Mus musculus: one gene and its partner. Each later gene encodes a partner of the first gene's protein in a complex. Links are inferred from orthologs where the notes say so. Each region holds a gene or a part of one and is shown in the gene's direction. Other genes may lie near its edges.

Region 1 (3,822 bases):
TGTGCATGGCCTAGCATATAGCCTGTAGCCTTGCGGTTGGCCTTCTCCATAGGGTAAGGATATGTCAGTTGCTAACTCCTGTCTTAATCAGCAAGTGGTGTTAGATGTAGCAACTGCTAAGAAAATTGATTCAGGCTCTTCCTACTTTGTGTCCTGATCTGAAACACTTTGGTAAAATGCAGGTACTTTCCCATGGCCCTCATAGCTGGTGCCCTGACACTGTGGGTTGTTCCTTATTGAACAGAGACCTTGAGAGGGCCTGGCTCTCTTGTTCTTAGGCCCAGATGTTGTAATGGGTAGTTAGCACCATGTCTCCTTTTTAAGTAAGATCGAATGTCCTATGTACTAAAATGATGGACTTTTTTTTTTTAATCCCAAAGACGTGTTAATTTCCATAGATATCTTGGTTTTATTTGCACTATAGTATATTTTGTTTTTGTTTTTTAAAATGTCCTTACTAGTCTCTGGAACTTACAAGAAAGATGCTTCGAGACAAACAGAACAAAAAAAATTCAGGCCAGCCCCTCCCTGTCTTCCCAGCATGGGTGTATGAGAGACCAACATTGGCTGGAGATTTCCTGATTGGCTCGGGCTTGAGCTCAGACACAGTTTTGCCTATAGGTATGTGGTGAATTTCTTCTCTGCTTGCCTGCATGTGCCTCAGCAGGCCGTGACACACTGAAGCCCAGAGGACTTGAATGCTTGTTCTTGCATTCCTCCTGCTGGAGCCTTAGGACAGCCGGAGCTGGCCTCCTGGGCTGTGCACCAGTGTGTGACACAAGGACCAGGAGGTCACACTTTCCTGAAAAGTGACTTGTCATTACCACAGACTGCATCAGGTTTTAGTGCTATGCTCACAAAGGCCTTAAAAGTTGCATCTGTTTGACAGCATTGCTGTTTCAGGGCAGGTTCTCAGGAACCTACTACATGCAACCCCAGAGAGTCTTTTAGGACCAAATGTGAACATTTGCACTGGCATAGCTTAGATGTGGTTTCCTGCCTGTTTGATGGTAGCCTCAGTTTAAGAGAATTGTGAAGTGGTGTGCCTTGCCCCAGCTCCTGAGCTCTGTACGGTGTTAGTGCAGAGGTCTACTGTCACCTTTAGAAATAACTTATAGGGCTATTAGACAAATTGAGGGTGTTCTCCTGTCCCCAAATATTATAGGGCTGTTAGACAAATTGTTTTCTCCTGTCACCAAGCAGACATGATTCTGCTGCAAGTTCATGGGAAGGTAGAGGCAGCTGTCTTTATGTCGTAGACTTGTTGTTTGCAGTGTTGGCAGGTACCTAGTTGTCACCTATCCTGTCACCTGGTAATTGTCTCCTTCCCTGTCTGTTCTCCTGTGGCCAGCATAATCAATCATCATCATTGGCAGAGCCTCAGCCTCAGCATAACCATCATCATTGGCAGAGCCTCAGCCTTAGACCTTACTTTCCTGCACCCTGTGGATGTAGCTGGTGCTCTGCATAGTGTGTGTCCCTCAGGACTCTTTCCCCGTGGATTTCCCCGTCCTTAGCTTCCCTCAGCATCACGAGCCATCATTTCTCCAGTTGTTCCAACTCTTCCCTTCCATCCGTTCATCCCAGGGAGCTCCCTGTCTTCTCCCATTGCCTCGGCTCCCTGCGATCAGTCCCAGATCTACCTCTTCCATCTCCACTTTCAAGTGTCCAGGTAAACTTTATGTCACCTAAGGCCATTCTGCTGAGGTACCTGCCACCTCCCTAGTGGCTTACTCACACCTGTAGTTGTTGAAAATTGAAATGCATTGAGCGTGCACAAGCAACCAGTCTTCTGTTTCATTACCTTAATCCCAGTGGCCATGGCTTCATGCAGGGGCATGGATCTTGACAACCTCATCTTTCCTCTCTTCCTGTAGTTTCCATACTTCCTGTAGACATAGCTAGAGCCCTCTTTCAGTACAGGACCTGAGTCTCAGGTAAGGCTGTCCAGTGACAGCCCTACTGTGCCCCTCATCCCCAACAAAACCCTGACAGTTTGCCCAGGCTGGCCTCTTCTACCCTTGAGCTCCATTTTCCACTCAGGCCCTGCATACCAGACAGAGAAGCCAGGTCTGCTACCTCAGGCATTTGCACCCTGTATTCCCCAGCCCCTTCAGAGCTCAACTAAAGATCTGGTGATAGTCACCCCTTCCTTGTCCTCCCTTGTCACACTTAATACACTGTAAGATGCTGGTTCAATTTTGTTTGGTATTTTTCCCTATACAGGCATGCTGATAAGAGGACAGGGCTAGCATCTGCTATGCACATGTGTTGTTTAGAAGCCAGAGAGTGACCCGTCCAGCAGGTCCAGTTATTCGAGGGTCTCAAGGGGACCTTCTCCTAATAACCAAATGGGGGGGTAGAGAGAGACGAGGGTCTTGTGCAAATAACGACACGGAAACCGTTCTGGATTGCATCAAGACCCCAATGTATTGTGAAAGGCCCAAGGCTTAAATGCACAAGCAAAAGGGGAAGTACAGATACTTATCAGCAGGAGGGGTGGGGCAATACAAGCAAAAGGAGAAGTACTTATCAGTGGGAGGGGGGCAATAGAAATTCTTTCTTTTGGCAGCTACAAGGGGAAGCAGGAACTTGGTGGTATCAGGGTGTGGTCAGGACATCGGTGATGACTTAGAGCTGGAACATCCTGTGGTTATTCTCGGAATCAATGCGTCGGTGGCCCACTTTTGACCCCCTTTTCTTCTCGGGGGGTGTAGTGGCTATTCCTGGTTGTCAACTTGACTATATTTGGAATGAACTACAATCCAGAATTGGAAGGCTCACCAGTGACCCTTATCTGGAGGCTTGGAGATCCTTATCTGGATCTTGGTTTGGAGATCTTGAGCCATCGTGGCTATGGATTCCAGAAGATTGAATCTCAGAGTTTAAGGAACACGCCTTTAATCTGGGCTACACCTTTCATCTGGGATTAAAGGTGTGGTGGAACACACCTTTAATCTGGGCTACACCTTCTGCTGGAGACAATATAAGGACATTGGAAGAAGGGAGTCTAGCTCTTGCTCTTGCTCCTTCGCCTGCTTGCTGCGTGAGACTGAGTAACTGCTAGATCCTTGGACTTCCATTCACAGCTGCGACTGAACCATTGTTGGAAATTGGGCTGCCGACTGTAAGTCATCAATAAATTCCTTTACTATCTAGAGACTGTCCATAAGTTCTGTGACTCTAGAGAACCCTGACTAATACAGAAGTTGGTACCAGGAGTGGTTCTAGAGTAACAGAAGTACAAGGATGAATCTTTTAAAATACTGGAATTGGCTTGTTGATCCACCAGCACTTTCAACTATTGAAACCTCTCCAGATTCTCTCCCTACTGGGAGCTCAGAGAATTTTGAAGACCCATGGTTGAAACTATATTCCGAACTTAAAGAAGCTAATGACCTTGATTTTCTTAACGAATTAGGTGATTCAGTGCACAAAGCTTTCTACAAGATGGGGAAAAAATCGGAAAATGATTTTACTGGCTGGCTGCTCTTAGTATCTGTGGAAAAAATGATGAATGAAAGGAAGGAGTTGTGTGATAAAATCGAAAGGCTCCAGACACAAGTAAACGATCTAAAAGTTGCTAAGTGTGTCCTTGAGGAGAATCTTCTCTCTTGTAGCAATAGAGCTCAAGTTGCAGAAAATCAAACAGAAACTCTCATTGTAAGGTTGGCTGAACTACAGCGAAAATTCAAGTCTCAGCCTCAGAGTGTGTCGACAGTTAAAGTAAGGGCTCTAATTGGCAAAGAATGGGATCCTACAACATGGGACGGGGATGTGTGGGAAGACCATGTTGAAGCTGAGAATTTTGAATCTTCAGAT
Region 2 (3,822 bases), on another chromosome or scaffold:
CAAGATTTTACATTAAAAATATAAGAACAGCTTACGCTTGGTGACATTGGACTATAATTTCAGCACTTAAAAGGCTGAGGCAGGGGAATTCCAAAGTTACAGGCTAGCCTGAACTGTATAGCAAAACCTTGTCTCCAATCAAACAAACAGGCCTAGAGAGATCTCTTAGCTGGAAATAATACTGGCTGCAAAAGTGTGAAGGCCTGAGCTTGACTCTTAAGCACCTACCTACATAATGGCTGGGCCTTGTTCCCTGTGAGAACTCCAATCCTGAGTAACAGAGGCAGGAGCTCCCTGGAGCTCTCTGGCCAGCTGACCCAACTTAAAGCAAACTTCAGGTTCAGTGAGAGAGCCTGTGTTAAGACAATAATGTGAGAAATGACTGAAGAAGACATCAGGCAACCTCCTATATCATGTATGTTTGTAGGGATGCACACTTGCATATAACACACATATATAGAAGTAGATATATAGAGAGACCCCAAAATGAAGTAGGACAACTGTTTTTTGGGATTAATCAATATTTGATAAGTAGTTACAGATAAATGGTTATCATAGTCATAAATATTACGGTTAAAAGTTGGTATCTGTATAAAATGTCAAATTAAAGAGGCTCTAAGAGGGTCCCTTTCTTTGCATCACTTCATTGGCAATCACTTTAAAAAGTCAGCTCAGTTGGGGTTGGAGCCTAGAGAGAAGGCTCAGTTAAGGGTGCTAGCTGCCCTTGTAGGTCCCAAGTTTGGTTCCCGGCACCTACACCGAGCCGCTCACAGCAACTGTAACTCCAGCTGCTGGCAAGCCAACAGTGACTTCTGCACCTTCACTCACATGTACCTACCCACAGAAAGGGAGACACACATGAATACACATCTCTTAAAGGAAATACAATTTTTTTTAGTGATTGGGATGTGTACATAAAAAGAAATATGAGAATCTGTCTCTGTCACTCATAGCTGGTGAGTTACTGAAATAACTTGGTCTATTTAGGATATTCTAAAATATATATTTTAATTACAAACTTTTATCACTAGATTGGATTGGAAATAAAGCTTCACAGTATAAAATATAATTTATATACGTAGTTATAAAGTAATAGGATATAGCTGTCTTTTGTAAAATCAATTGGAGACTTTTCTCTGTAAGGCGTACGTTCTTCATAAGTATTCTTACTGTGTCTGTTTCTAGCATGATGTAAAGAATCGTCGCACCTTCTTAAAGCGGACCAAGTATGAGGACCTGCGCCTGGAAGATCTATTTATAGGCAACAAAGTCAATGTGTTTTCTCGACAGCTGGTGTTGATTGACTATGGGGACCAATACACAGCCCGCCAGCTGGGCAGCAGGAAAGAGAAGTAAGAACAGCCGGGCCATCTTTTTCCATTGAAACCTTGCCTGTGACTTTGGCCACTAACTTCTGATTTCCTCTCCTCGGTCATGTTTTCACAACATAGTTTTTCCAGCGACCTAATATAATTTTATAACATTAAAAATATTTTGGTACTGATTCAGGGATTGGTTCCTAATTAGAATATTGAAGCAATATCTGTAGTCTTAGGAGGTGACTGTTTGGATGGGTGGGTGGCAGAGATAAAGCTCTTACACATTCTATCTGCTTTTTATATTTGTCACTAAAACCTAAGACTATTTGAGCATAAGGTTTTCTTCCTAAGCATAAGCATGATGCTGGTACGAATCACGGTAACCCGGGAGACGGTGAAGTTAGTTCTTGCAAAACTGAAGGCTTTGTGGGTTTGTTCTGTCTTGATAAAACTGAATTAAATTATTACCCCAATTAGATGAACTGGGGAGAAATGCTAATCAAAGGAGTGAGTATAGAGAAAGATCCAAAGGTGGGAAATCCTGTCTTAAGTTAGAACAACTATTTGCTATCCTGCTTGTGTAAGTTGGGGGCTAAAACTTATAAAAGTTTAATTACTACAACAATGATCTGAATTATTATGGTAACAGTAGATATGCAGAAGAAGTAAGGAGTGTACGTGATTAATAGAAATGCAGCAGTGCATGCCAGGAAGCAGCTCAGTTGGGGCAGTGCTTGTCTAGCAAAGATGAAGCCCAAAGGCCTGAGACCTAGCCCCGTGTAAAACTGGAGGTGGTGGCACGTTTCTGTCATGCCAGCATGTGGGAAGTGGAGGTAGAAAGATCAGAAGTTCAAGATCATATTAGTTTACAGAGGGAGTCAAGGGCCAGCTTGGGTTACATGTGACCCTGTCTCAAAAAAAAAAAACAAAAAAACAAAAAAAACAAAAAAGACAAAAAAACAAAAAAACAAAAAAACCAAATAACAAAGATCAAAGACAGTTCAAGTTAAGAATGGAAGTTCTAGAAACTTTGGGTGAGATGATGATGAGAAGCTGCCTCAGGGCAATTTAACAGAAGAGATAGGCAAGGTAACAGAGAATAGACCCTGCCCCAAGGAGAGAGCGATCAGAACATCAGAAATCACAAAGCAAGAAGTAGCTTGCTCCAGGGAATTTTATTCAGCTATAGAGAGTGAAATTCTAACATCTGCAAGGAAGTGGACAGACCTGGAGATCATTACATTAAGTGAAAGAAGCCAGATTACTGAAAGATATCAAGTGGGTTTTTTTTTTAAATATGTGGAATATAGATAGATGGATAGGTGGGTGGGTGGATTGATGGATGGATGGATAGATAGATAGATAGATAGATAGATAGAGTATAGAAAGGGGACCATGGAGGGAAGAAGTTTAAAGAGAGTGGGGAGTTGGGGAGTGAGAAATTGTAATAAAATATACACGTCATAAAAGCTAACAGATTACTGGGTGAAGGGAAAGGGACTAACAAGAAGTGAGTCAGGATTAGGGAGGGCGGTGGGGTGTGAAAAATAGCAGACTATAACAAAAATATCACCATGAATCACATTATTTTATATATTAGCTAAAAATAAATTTTTAAAAGACAATTATGTCAACTATAATGTGTGGGCAAACAAAAAGGACAACCCAGTGGGACGGAGTGGGCAGTGCACTGCTCCACTGGGGCAGATCCCTGCAGGAGGACCTGGGGCAGGGTGGGACAGAAGCCTCATCTGAAAGGGGACAGAGGAAGGGACTGGGTAAGCTCGGTCTGTGAGTGAAGGTCAAGGAGGTACATTATGAAAATGGAACACTGAAGCTCATTGCTCTGCGCAACCACTAAGATAAATTTAAATACCAAAACCCAGAAATTCGGGACTGGATAGGACCTGGGGACGATTCTTCTCTTGCTGTCTTACTCATTTCCGTGTCTTCTGCATCCCTGAGCAAATCTCTTTACGCATTGCAAGAGCAAGGTTAATTTCACCTCCGAGTTTTGCAGCCTTCATTCCGTGACTTTTTTGGCTCAATGCTTTGGGTCCCTGCAGTAGAACACATTATGAAGGATATTGAGTGGTAGAGGAAGCTGTTTACCTCAGGGCACAAAAGGGTCTGCAGTCCTAACAGCCCTTCTAAGCTGTGACCTAAAGACCTCCCAGTAGCTGCACCACACACACACACACACACACACACACACACACACACACACACACACTGCACACTCTCTCGCACACATGCAGATACCCCCACATGTACCTTTTTATTATTCTTTCCTTACTGCTTGCCACCCTGATTTTCTTTAGTTTTGGTTTAGAAAGAAACAGAACCAATTGGAGATGCAGCTAAAAAGCAAGCTTTAAAGAAAAACCAAAAACCAAAACCAAAAATGGACTTAATAATGATTCTCTTCTGAAAAATGATTTCCCTTGCTATGAAATGGCATTTTACTTTTCATTGTCCACATTTATGAGTTGCAGCTTTCTGA

The links.
Region 2: Tubgcp2 (region 1) and Nme7 share a complex: the UniProt entries of both Homo sapiens proteins name them as parts of the gamma-tubulin ring complex. The link is inferred for Mus musculus from reciprocal best matches to the Homo sapiens genes TUBGCP2 and NME7.

Annotation. Positions count from the first base shown.
Region 1 is NC_000073.6:140,026,626-140,030,447, reverse strand, and holds part of Tubgcp2 (gamma-tubulin complex component 2), read left to right. Parts: intron 1-461; coding exon 462-621; intron 622-3,822. UniProt on the Homo sapiens protein: Component of the gamma-tubulin ring complex (gTuRC) which mediates microtubule nucleation.
Region 2 is NC_000067.6:164,331,427-164,335,248, forward strand, and holds part of Nme7 (nucleoside diphosphate kinase 7), read left to right. Parts: intron 1-1,185; coding exon 1,186-1,352; intron 1,353-3,822. UniProt on the Homo sapiens protein: Possesses an intrinsic kinase activity. Displays 3'-5' exonuclease activity with a preference for single-stranded DNA. Does not seem to have nucleoside diphosphate kinase activity.